Canis lupus familiaris: one gene and its partners. The protein of the gene in region 2 interacts with the protein of the main gene of each other region in a pairwise test. Links are inferred from orthologs where the notes say so. Each region holds a gene or a part of one and is shown on either strand. Other genes may lie near its edges. The genes, in order: DBP, DDIT3 and CEBPA.

What was found.
Region 1: the proteins of DDIT3 (region 2) and DBP interact in binary tests that used the Homo sapiens proteins (3 or more experiments, as listed by UniProt). The link is inferred for Canis lupus familiaris from reciprocal best matches to the Homo sapiens genes DDIT3 and DBP.
Region 3: the proteins of DDIT3 (region 2) and CEBPA interact in binary tests that used the Homo sapiens proteins (3 or more experiments, as listed by UniProt). The link is inferred for Canis lupus familiaris from reciprocal best matches to the Homo sapiens genes DDIT3 and CEBPA.

What each region holds. Positions count from the first base shown.
Region 1 is NC_049222.1:108,347,648-108,351,386, forward strand, and holds the start of DBP (D site-binding protein), read left to right. Parts: upstream 1-1,071; 5' UTR 1,072-1,788; coding exon 1,789-1,927; intron 1,928-2,790; coding exon 2,791-3,201; intron 3,202-3,739. Other genes in the region: CA11 (carbonic anhydrase-related protein 11), read left to right, coding at 642-667. UniProt on the Homo sapiens protein: This transcriptional activator recognizes and binds to the sequence 5'-RTTAYGTAAY-3' found in the promoter of genes such as albumin, CYP2A4 and CYP2A5. It is not essential for circadian rhythm generation, but modulates important clock output genes.
Region 2 is NC_049231.1:1,963,892-1,967,630, reverse strand, and holds the start of DDIT3 (DNA damage-inducible transcript 3 protein), read left to right. Parts: upstream 1-1,338; 5' UTR 1,339-1,440; intron 1,441-2,119; exon of another isoform or gene 2,120-2,202; intron 2,203-2,298; exon of another isoform or gene 2,299-2,448; intron 2,449-3,739. UniProt on the Homo sapiens protein: Multifunctional transcription factor in endoplasmic reticulum (ER) stress response. Plays an essential role in the response to a wide variety of cell stresses and induces cell cycle arrest and apoptosis in response to ER stress.
Region 3 is NC_049222.1:119,691,253-119,694,991, forward strand, and holds the start of CEBPA (CCAAT/enhancer-binding protein alpha), read left to right. Parts: upstream 1-1,356; 5' UTR 1,357-1,441; coding exon 1,442-2,270; intron 2,271-2,309; coding exon 2,310-2,611; 3' UTR 2,612-3,739. UniProt on the Homo sapiens protein: Transcription factor that coordinates proliferation arrest and the differentiation of myeloid progenitors, adipocytes, hepatocytes, and cells of the lung and the placenta.

The DNA of each region.
Region 1 (3,739 bases), on a different chromosome or scaffold from region 2:
CTCCCTTCTACGTTTGTGTCAACATGGTACGGTCCACCTCCCCGCCACAGACCGTAGCTGGTCCGTGATTTGTCCCTCTTCACCGCTTGCAACTTGCAACTTGGTATATAACCCGAGATCCCTGGCTCCTCCCGCCCCACGGGCCGTGCTTTCCATTACTAGGGTTTTCCAAAGTGGTACAGCCCGGATCCTTTCCCGGTTTCCATGTGGTACGATCTCAAGCTGTTCCATAACCCGACACACACCCCCTTCCTGAAAATCAACGTGGTACAACCCCCTTCCCTCTCCACTGCCTAGCCTGTGCGGTTCGACCCTGCGATCTCTGGGCCACCACTCTAGCTTCTCTGCGGGGTTTAGCCCTGACCCCTACCCCCACCCCCATGAGTACCTTCCTGCAGTTCCGTGTGATGCTGAAGCTGGACGTCCCCATTCAACCCTCCTGCTGCCTCCTGTTGGTTAAACCCAGCGCGGGTCCAGAACCTGACCCGTTTCCCCCAACTTCTCGACTTGGTACCTTCCGGCTTCCCCCTCCGCAGCCTCCCCGTGGTAGAGCCCACCGCGGCCCAGCCCCCGCCTCCCTGCAAACCCCCTGCAGGGAGCCCTAAACTAACGATCCGCTACCGGTGTCGTCTGTCTTACAGTGGATGGTGCCCCCCATGGTCGCTGAGACTCCCCGTCGAGGATTGCGCCCGTCCTCTCCAAGTCTCCCCACACGGGGAGGGGAGTTACCCCCAAAACAAAGCTATTAAAGGGACAGAATACTTCCTGTTTCTTAGTGGTCTGATTCTAGGCGCGGCGGGGAAACATGGGTACTGAAGAACAGCAGCCTGCTTCTAGAAACCAGTCTCCCTCTTCCTAAACCGCCCCGCTCGGTGTTTCGGCTTCCTGTTTCCCAAAACCGACATTTCGGTTGGCGGCTCCTTTAAGCGGCGCCTCTTTTCACTCCCCCAACTCCCCTCCCCGCCCGGCAGCACGCGCGGAGCCATGTGCTTCCCCCTCCCGCCTGCCTCATTGGCCCGAACTGGGTCAGGGTCCCGCCCCCAGTGCAGTCTCCCATTGGGCAAATGTAGGTCAGGGTCCCGCCTCTCACCTAAAGGCACGGCCACTTCACGCCCTGAGCCCCTCACGCGCCCTCCCGAGCCCTGGAGGATCCGGGGGTCCCATTGGCCGTGCGTCTCGAAGGGTCAGGACGCGATTGGCCCGCGCTTTCAGCCGGAGGGAGGCACGCGGCTGGGGTGCTTAGCCCAAGAGGCTGGCAGGGGCCGAGGGGAGGGGTGCGCGCTGTGGCGTCGGGTGTTTTGGTTTGGCTTTTTTTTTTTTTTTTTTTTTTCCGCGAAAGAAGTTTGCGTTGGCCACGCCTCAAGGCGGCCGCCTCCTCTTGCCCCCTCCCCCGCCCTCCGCGCACACCTCTTGGTGCAGATTGCAAAGCGCCTTCCGCTGAGAGAGCTGCAGATTTTGCAAGAGCCAGGCTCGCCCACCTTGTAGAAGGAGCGCCTGGTGTCCCCTTGAACTCTGAGTAGCAAAGAGCCGGCTGCCTGGTTTTGATCAAGCCTCTCACTCGGACTGCATGATCTCCTGGGACCCTCTTGAGTTGCACGTTTCTGCACCGAGGACTGCAAATCCCCGTCACCCCTAGGATTTGCAGTGTTCTGGATACTGGAGGCTTGCAAGCTCCGCTCGCCCGCCCCTGGGTAGGCACTCGCCCGAACCACAGGAGTGTGCCGCTGACTGGCAAGCCAGCTCTTCGCCTCTCCATGAGCCCGTGAGCCTGCGGGCAGGTGCCCGGTGATGGCGCGGCCGGTGAGCGACAGGGCCCCGGCTTCCCTGCTGCTGGGCGGCCCAGCCGGGGCCCCCCCTGGCGGGGGAGCGCTGCTTGGGCTGCGGAGCCTTCTGCAGGGGACCAGCAAACCCAAAGAGCCAGCCAGCTGTGAGTTCTAGCCCCCATCTATCCCAACCCGGACACCCTACTCCCATAGGGATTCAAGTGTTGAGGGGGGTGGGGGACTGGTGGCTCCCTCCTACGAGCGGAGAGTCCATCCTTTACCCGTCATCTACCCGATTACAAAGGTGTTCAGGCCCCTAAGTCCCTCAGCACCCAGGATCCAAAAGTACAGGCGCTCAAGCCCGTCCACCAGGAAGACCCAAGGAGTCCCCCCAAAGTCCTCTTTTCCGAGGACACAAGAGTCTGGGCTCCAGCCCCCGCTTCCTCTGGATTCTGAGAGTCTGGACCCCTGGGGTCCAGGGAGGAGGGAGGGGGTGTGTCGGATGCTCACACGGTAGTGACACGGGCTTGGGCGGGGCCTCCTGGGGTCACATGGAGTCTAGGGATGAGGAATGTGCCCCAGGAATAGAGCCCCTTCCTGCCCCTTACATAGTGTGGGGGTGGGGAGAAGAGATTCCTGTGAGCAAGGGGGTTAGACTACAGAGAAGTCTCACCTGCCCAACCCTCCACCTACCTCTGTCTGAACTTCCGTCCCCCTTCTGTGTCTCTATCCCTTCCCTGGTCTGTGTCCTCTCCTTGTCTGGGTCTCTATCCTCCACTCTTTCTGAGTCTCGGTACCCGTCTCTCTCTCTGTGGCGCCCCTTTCTGTGCTTTCTCTCTGGGTCTCTTTTCCTCTCTTGAGTCTCTGTCTCTTCTTTTGGGGTCCTTGCCTTCCCACTCTTATCTCTGCCTCTCCCCCGCCTGTCCGTCTTGCTCTGGATCTCCGTCGTGTGGGTCTCTATCTCCCCTTTCTTCGCGTCTCTCTGTCTCGGGGGTCTCTTCTCCATCTCTTCCTTCCCACCCCGCAGGTCTCCTGAAGGAAAAGGAGCGCAAGGCGGCTCCGCCAACAGCCACGGTCCCCGGGCCAGGCCTGGAGACGGCGGGCCCGGCGGATGCCCCAGCTGGGGCGGCGGTGGGCGGCGGGTCCCCGCGGGGGCGCCCGGGGGCCCCGCCAGGCCCGGGTCTGTTGGCGCCGCTGCTGTGGGAGCGGACGCTGCCGTTCGGCGACGTGGAGTACGTGGACCTGGACGCGTTCTTGCTGGAGCACGGGCTCCCGCCCAGCCCGCCGCCGCCCGGGGGCCCATCACCGGCGCCCTCGCCCGTGCGCACGCCCGCACCCTCCCCGGGGCCCGGTTCCTGCGGCTCAGCTTCCCCTCGTTCCTCCCCGGGGCACGCCCCCACCCGGGCTGCCCTCGGGGCCGCGGGCGGCCACCGCGCAGGTGCGACGGCGGGGGCGGGGCAGGGCCCTGGTGGGGCGGGGCTTGGGCTTTAGGGGCGGGGCTGTACAGCACTTGGGGCCGGGAGCGTGGGGCTGGGGTTGTGCGCCCAAGTTCTGGGGCTTCTAGGCGCAAGAGATGCTGGGAGAGGAGTCTGGATTCTCTGCTTCCTAATGCGTCAGGGACTGGGTCTCCTGGATCCATTGGAGATGGGGGCCTTGGGATCCCAAATTACAGGAAGTCTGCCCAGTGGGGCGGTAGTGTGGACTTTTCTGTGGAACGTGGAGACAGAGGGTGGGGACACTCGATTACTGGGGAGTGAACTGCGCTCCAGATTCTGGGCCTGGAATCTGTGGACTGGGGAAGAACTGTAACCCCTAGGCCCTCTACAGGGAAGAAAGCAAGGTCTGGGCACAGACTTATTTCACTGGGATCTAAGAGACTGGCAGCCCTAGTTGCTGGGTCCTCCAGTGGAGAAGAGCTAGGACCCGGGGTCGCGGAGTCCTCTAGATGGAATCTAGAAGGTTGGGGATCTTCAAAC
Region 2 (3,739 bases):
GAGACGGCGGGGGCAGGTGAGGGCGGGGGGGCGGGGATGGGGCCGGGAAAGGGGCCGAGGACGCGGGGGGCAGAGGGTAGGGACAGCAGGGGAGGGGAGGGGGAGGGGCGGGGGGGCCGGGCCCTGCACTCACCGCGGCCCATGGCTCGGCCGGCCCCGCCCTGCGCAGTCGCGGCCCAGAGGGTGAGTGGGAGGGAGTGGGAGGAGGGTCGGCGGAGCCCGAGCCTCCGGTACGGCCCCGGCCGGTCCTAGCAGGAAGCGCCGCCGCCGCCGCCGCGGATCACCGAGCGGCCTCCCGCGCATGCGCCATGGGGGCCAGGGGCAGCCCTGGGGATTCCGTTCCCAGAAGGCACCGCGCAGGCTGCCGCCGCCGCCGCCGCCGTCGCTGCCGCCGCCGCCGCCGCAGCCGCCGCCGCCGCCGCCGCCGCCGCTGCCCGGACGGGAGAGGGGCGGGGCCGGGCCCCCGCCCAGCGGACAACGACGAGCCAACAGGAGGGGCCGCAGTGCGCATGCGGGAGCGCGCCTACCCCTCCCCCACAACCCCCCATTAATCCCCAAGAGAACAAACACCCCACGCGGCCCCCCCGCCCTCCGCGGAAGGATCTGAGCCTCTTCCCAGGCCACCGGCGGCCAATCCCAGCCCTCCCCGGGGAGGGGCCCCTTCCAAAGCCACAGTCTGTCGGGGGAGCCAGGAATGCCGGGTCCGGGAGGGGCCGGCCCCAAAAGATGAAAGTCGCGACTTGCCCTGCCCCGCCCCAAAGGCTTCCCGGGTAGTGTGCTGGGACTTGACCCGCCTCCCCAGGTCAACATGTCACAACAGGACCTCCGCCTGTCAAGTCACATGACCTCTGCCTGTCACTGACAACCTGGTCATGTCTTTGGGCCAGGAGAGACCATCTGGTCCAACCCACCCCCACCCCCATCTACTGAAGGGGAAATGGAGGTCTGGAGCAACGGAGCAGGCCCGGCCGAGGACCTGTCACCGTCACACCACCACCTAAACCTCCTTGCAGCCACAACCGGCCTTGTGACAGATTCTACTTAACTCTGGCTGCCCCCGTGAGGGTATGACAGTGAATACAACCGGCCGCCACATGGCATCTTTTTTCTCTCTAATGGCACAAGAAAAACGTTTGCATTTTAAGCGATGCTTTTCACTTTTGTTTAAGCTGCCTCCAAGTTCATAGTGCTCTCGTTTTACCTTCACAACTCGTCATCCTTTATTTACAAACAAGAACGGTTGTGGCACAGATATTAGGGGGCAAGTAAAGGGGCAGGTGAGGCCAGACTCTGGGCTCCTGACAACCCGGTGCAAGGCGGCTGCGCGCTCAAGTGCACCCAACGTCCCAGGCAACGAGGCTCTAAGGTCGCCCGAGCACCGAGGCGGCAGGCGGCGGGTGCACGGCTCCTCACGCAGGAGTCACAGGACCTGCGCGGCTGGTACAGCGAAAAGGGCGGGTCTTGATCCTTGGTGGAGGCACCAGAGTACGGGGGGGGGGGGGGGGGAGGCTGAGAATCGCGTCCACCGGGCCAAGTCCTGAATCCTGGCATGCTGAGCGCTCATCAGAAACTTCACAAAGATAAAAGTTAGGGGTGCTTTTCGGCGAGGAGCTGAAAATGACCATCAAAAGTACTCAAGTTCCTCGGCCCCTTCTGGGGGAATTAGGGAGCTAAACGGGATCTTTCTATGCGCCTACTCGAGGAGACGTTAGGCGGTCCTGTGGCTGCATGCAAACTTTCAAAAGAGATTGGCTTAGAAGACCTCGCGCCCACTAACTAGGAGGGGACCGAGCAAAATGGGAGCCCCCCATGCAGACGGCGAGGCGGGGGCTAACGCCAGGTGGGCGGAATAAGGGCGCCGAGGAGGACGAGCCGCAGCGCGGCTTCGCAGGCAGCCTGAGGGCGGCCACGGTTGGGAGCCGTTGGGGCCGTTGGGAGCCCGGCGCTGGCGCCCCGCCCTCTCCTCTCCCCCACCCCCCCGCACCGCCCACCACCCTCGTCGGCCCCTGCGCGTGCGCGCCGAGACACCGGTTGCCAAACATTGCATCATCCCCGCCCCCCTCTCCTCCCCTCCTCCCCTCCCCCCCAGCTCTCCCCTCCGCGCGCGCGCATGACTCACTCGCCTCCTCCGCGGAGCCTCGTGACCCAAAGCCACTTCCGGGTCCGACACCACCTCTACCCCCGGGCCGGCGGGAGCGAAGGGGGCGGCGCCGCGGGGGCTGCTGAGTGGCGGGCGCGGGGGGCGGGGCGGGGCCAGCGCCGGCGTGCCGCGCCCTGATTGGCAGGCTTGCGGGCCCGCCCCCGAGGGGAGGGCAGGGCCTCCTTAAAACATCCGCGCTCGGGCCTCCGAGGTCAGAGGCTTGAGTGTAAGGCACAGAGCGGATCATGTTGAAGATGAGCGGGTGGCAGCCACAGAGCCACAGTCAGAGCCGGAACCTGAGGAGAGAGGCGAGTACCGATCCCACCTGCTCTTTACCCTCTAGTCCTCGGGGATGCTGGTTGTCCCTTCGAAGTTGGGGCATCAGCTGCTCAGGATGCGGCCCCACCCGTTCCCCGACGAAGTTAGTGACAGTTCGAGGGAGGGACGGGGAGCATCCTTTATCCGGGAGTGGTGCTTACAGACCTCTCTTCCCTCGGACGGGAGCGGCGCCCCACCCTGCCCGGAGCGCGGGCCCGGCTCTGGGCCGTCGGGCTAAGGGGTCCGGATGCCCTCGGGAGACTCCCTGTCTTCCGCTGCTGCCCTAGGCCGCCTCCTTGGTCCTGTCCGGTGGGAGGCGGGGCGGCAGGACACTCCCCCACGCCGAGACGCCTGGATGGCTCTGGCTCACGCCCTTGCCGCCACTTTCCCACCAGCGGCCCTGCCCCTACCCCACCCCCAATCCTGTCTCAGCCCAGCGTCTCAGGGCCAGAGTGGCCACGTCGGTGGATGGAGCTCCTGGGTCCTGCACAGGACAGCCATTCCACACCCTAACGGAGAAGAGAACCTTAAGGAGACAGACTCCAGACTTTGGGAGGAGGAGGGATGCCAATGGCTAGGGAGCAGAGATGGGTTTTCCCATTCCCCCAGAGGTCCCGGGGGCCTCCTGCACAAGAGAGCATTCTGGATCCCTTAAGTGTGGGAAGCCATTTGGGGTCTCCCCAGTGTAGGGTCCTTCCGCAGGGATTTGTCCCTGCTGCTTTCCCCGCGTCCTGCCTCCCAGCTAATTTCTGTGTAACCGTTGCATCAGGCCAGCCCCCTGTTTGGCTCTGCAGCCCTCTGGCCTGGGGCCCCACTGCTGATGAAAGCGGCATCCCACACGCTGGAAGGCAAGGAGGGTCCCCCAGGGAGGACAGCCCTGAAGAGAAACACTCTGGGAGATATTGCATCTCCAGTCCCCAGGGCTGGGCAGCTGCTGCTCTGCCTCTGGGCTTCCTCCTCCCTTCCCTATGAGACACTGGGGAGAATTCTTTCATTCTTCACAAATTACTTATTACACACCTGCTATGTGCCACACATTTTAGGCCCAGGATGCATCTACGAACAAGGAAAAGACCTGTTCTCACAGAGCTTACATTTCGTGGGAAAAGGTGCACAGCGAACAAATATAGAAGTGCCAAGGAGAAAACCAAAGCATGGAAGGGTAGTGAATGCCCAGGATGTTTACCTTGAGTCATTAGAGATTCTCTCACAGAGGTGACATTTAAATGAAACTTCTGAAAAGAGGCAAAGTAGTAAGCTGTGCAGATTTGTGAAAGGAAG
Region 3 (3,739 bases), on a different chromosome or scaffold from region 2:
GGGGGGGGAGGTCCTGGCCTGCGCAGCCCGGCTCTCCCCAAACGGGCACACCTCCAACCGGCGCCCGGGCGGTGTCGGGCTTCGGCGCACTAAGTCTTAAGGGGCGCTGCGGGGGAGGTAGAGGCAGCGGCGACCTGCGGGCCCCGGGGTGCGCCCCCGCCCCCCCGCCGCCGCCCGCGGTCCCGGGATAGAGCCGCGAGGCGCCACGTGGCTGGGGAGACGCGCTGCCTTAACCCCCAGCTCCAGCAGCGAATGCGGAGGCGGCGGCCAAGGGGACCCGGCCTGGCCACCTCGTTCCCCAGGATCCCGGGACCCAGCGCCCTGCGAGCCGCGGGCAGGGCCCTCCCGAGGTCCCCGAGGTCCCCGAGGTCCCCGAGCCCCGGCTCCCGCCCCGGAGCCCACCGGAACTGGGGCGGAGGTGCGGGGCGCGGGGGCAGAGGCTCCCGAGCCCGGGGTCCCCGTCCCGGCTCAGCTCGGCGTCCTCCGTCTGCGCGCCCCGCCTGGCCGCGGAACCCCGGCCCTGGGCTCCAGCTCCAGGCACGGCGCCAGCCCCGCGCGCCCAGCCTCCCGCGCCTCGGGCCGGGGCAAGTCCTGGAAAAGAAAAAGTTGTCCTGCCCCGCGGACCCGCCGGCCGCGTCCTCCCGCTCCCCGCGGCCGCCGCCTGCCTCGCCTCCGCGCCCCGCGCGGTCCTAGCGCCCGGCGCCGCCAGCCCGGGGACCCCGCAGGACGCGGCGGGCGGGGACCGGCTCCTGCGCGGCCTCGGCGGGGCGGCCCGAGGTCAGGGAGGGGGACGCGGAGCCGCCGCGCGCCGGGCGCTCCCCTCGGCCTCCCGGCCGGCTCCGGCCCCCTCCCCGCGCCGCCGCCCAGCCGACACCGGGGCCCCGGCGGGGCCACTGGGAGCTCTGAGAGCGAGTCCCGCGGCGGTGGCTCAGGCCGCAAGCCCGGCCCCCGGCCCCCCGGCCCCCCCGCCCCCACCGCGCGCCGCGCCTGGGCGCTCCCGGACTCCCCGGCCGCCGGCTGGAAGTGGAGCCCCGGGGCAGCCCGAGGAGGGGGCCCGGTCCCCGGCCACGTGCGTGCGGGGGCGACGGCTCGGCCCAGGGCGGGGCGCGCGCGCGTCCGGGTCGGGCCGGCGGGGCCGGGGCAGGGGGCGCCGCGCCGGGGCCCCTCCCGCCCGCGCCGCGCTGCGGCCCCGCTCGCCTCCCCCGCCGGCGGCCCGGCGCTAGGACCCAGGAGGCGCCGCCGCTCCGTCGGGCTCCGCAGGGCGCCGCCCCCGGTATAAACGCGGGCCCCGCGCGGGCCTGGCCATTCGCGACCGGAGCTGCGCGGGCGCGAGGCGGCGGGGCCCGGGGCTCGGGGGCGGCGGCGGCGGCGGCGGCGTTGGCGCCCCGCGCGGGCTGGAGGCCGCCGAGGCGCGCCATGCCGGGAGGGCTGTAGCTCCCCCATGGAGTCGGCCGACTTCTACGAGGCGGAGCCGCGGCCCCCGATGAGCAGCCACCTCCAGAGCCCCCCGCACGCGCCCAGCAGCGCCGCCTTCGGCTTCCCCCGGGGCGCGGGCTCCGCGCAGGCCCCCGCCCCACCTGCCGCCCCGGAGCCGCTGGGCGGCATCTGCGAACACGAGACGTCCATCGACATCAGCGCCTACATCGACCCGGCCGCCTTCAACGACGAGTTCCTGGCCGACCTGTTCCAGCACAGCCGGCAGCAGGAGAAGGCCAAGGCGGCCGCGGCCCCCGCGGGCGGCGGCGGCGGCGGCGGCGGCGGCGGCGGCGGCGGCGGCGACTTCGACTACGCGGGCGCCCCCGGGGGCCCCGGCGGCGCGGCGATGCCCGGCGGCGCGCACGGCCCGGCTCCCGGCTACGGCTGCGCGGCGGCCGGCTACCTGGACGGCAGGCTGGAGCCGCTGTACGAGCGCGTCGGGGCGCCGGCGCTGCGGCCGCTGGTGATCAAGCAGGAGCCGCGCGAGGACGACGAGGCGAAGCAGCTGGCGCTGGCCGGCCTCTTCCCCTACCAGCCGCCGCCGCCGCCGCCGCCGCACCCGCACCCGCACCCGCACCCGCACGCGCACGCGCCGCCCGCGCACCTGGCCGCCCCGCACCTGCAGTTCCAGATCGCGCACTGCGGCCAGACCACCATGCACCTGCAGCCCGGCCACCCCACGCCGCCGCCCACGCCCGTGCCCAGCCCTCACCCGGCGCCCGCCCTCGGCCCCGCGGGCTTGCCGGGCCCCGGCGGCGCGCTCAAGGCGCTGGCCGCCGCGCACCCCGACCTCCGCGCGGCGGGCGGCGGCGGAGGCGGAGGAGGCGGCGGAGGAGGCGGCGGAGGCGGAGGAGGCGGAGGCGGCGGCGCGGGCAAAGTCAAGAAGTCGGTGGACAAGAACAGCAACGAGTACCGGGTGCGGCGCGAGCGCAACAACATCGCCGTGCGCAAGAGCCGGGACAAGGCCAAGCAGCGCAACGTGGAGACGCAGCAGAAGGTGCTGGAGCTCACCAGTGACAATGACCGCCTGCGCAAGCGGGTGGAACAGCTGAGCCGCGAGCTGGACACGCTGCGGGGCATCTTCCGCCAGCTGCCCGAGAGCTCCCTGGTCAAGGCCATGGGCAACTGCCCGTGAGGCGCGGGGCGGCCGCCCGCTGGGACCCCGGGCGTGGATTCGTGGAGTCGGGCTCGGCTCGGGATCTCCAGGCTGCCCCCCGCGGCGCAGGCCCGGCCTGGGAGGCCCCGGCCCGCCGATTCGGTGCGCCCAGGACGGGGGTCAGGCCGGGCCTTCTCCCCGAAGGAGGGAAGCGCCGTGGGGCCGAGCCGAGCCCGAGCCCGAGCCCGAGCCTGGCAACTCTAGTATTAAGGATAACCTCGTGCCTTGGAAACGCAAACTCGCCGCTCCGATTCCTACCGAGTAGGGGGAGCCGATAGGTGCCTTGTCATTTTATTCGGAGGGTTCCTGCCGCACCCCGAGGTGCAGGCCCCCCACCCCCACCCCCACCCCCGGGGAGAGAGGGCAGCGTGCAGGCCCGCGGCTGCTCCAAGGGTCAGGATCTCTCGGCGCCCGTCCTCGGAAGGGAGGACATACAGGGACTTGGAAGGTCGTTACCCTAGTTCTACATGAAGGTGGCGGGTCCCTAGCTCCCTGCCCTCCAGTCTCCCAGCCTGTCACGGGCTGGGCTTCCCTGGGCAGAACTCACTGAGATGGGGGTCACCGGGTGACCGGCGGGAGCCCCTCCACCCCCACCCCCGGTCAGGCCAGGGCAGGCCAAAGCTATCTGGATACGTGTTCGTGGGAGTGGTAGCCTGGTGGCAGAGGGAAACCTAGAGATCTGGCCCCGGGGTGGGGGTGGGAGTGGGGCGGGGAGGTGGGGTGAAGGGACACTGGGACCATCAGCCTTGTACTGTATGTTGCCAGCATTGCCATACAAACATGAAGCACAATCTGTCCATCCCAGAGGGACCGAAGTTATGAGAAGCTTTCCAAATATTTTGCTTTATCAGCCGATATCAACACTTGTATCTGGCCTCTCTGTGTCCCAGCGGTGCCTTGTGCAATGTGAATGTGCACGTCTATGCTAAACCACCATTTTATTTGGTTTTTGTTTTGTTTTGGTTTTGCTCAGATACTTGCCAAAATGAGACTCTTTGTCAGCAGCTGCAGGGAGGGTCTGCGGCTCTCTTTCCTTTTGGTTTTGGGGGATCGCTTTTGCTCCCAGGGGAACCAAAGAGGTGAGGTGGGCTTCCTCTTTCCCTGGGG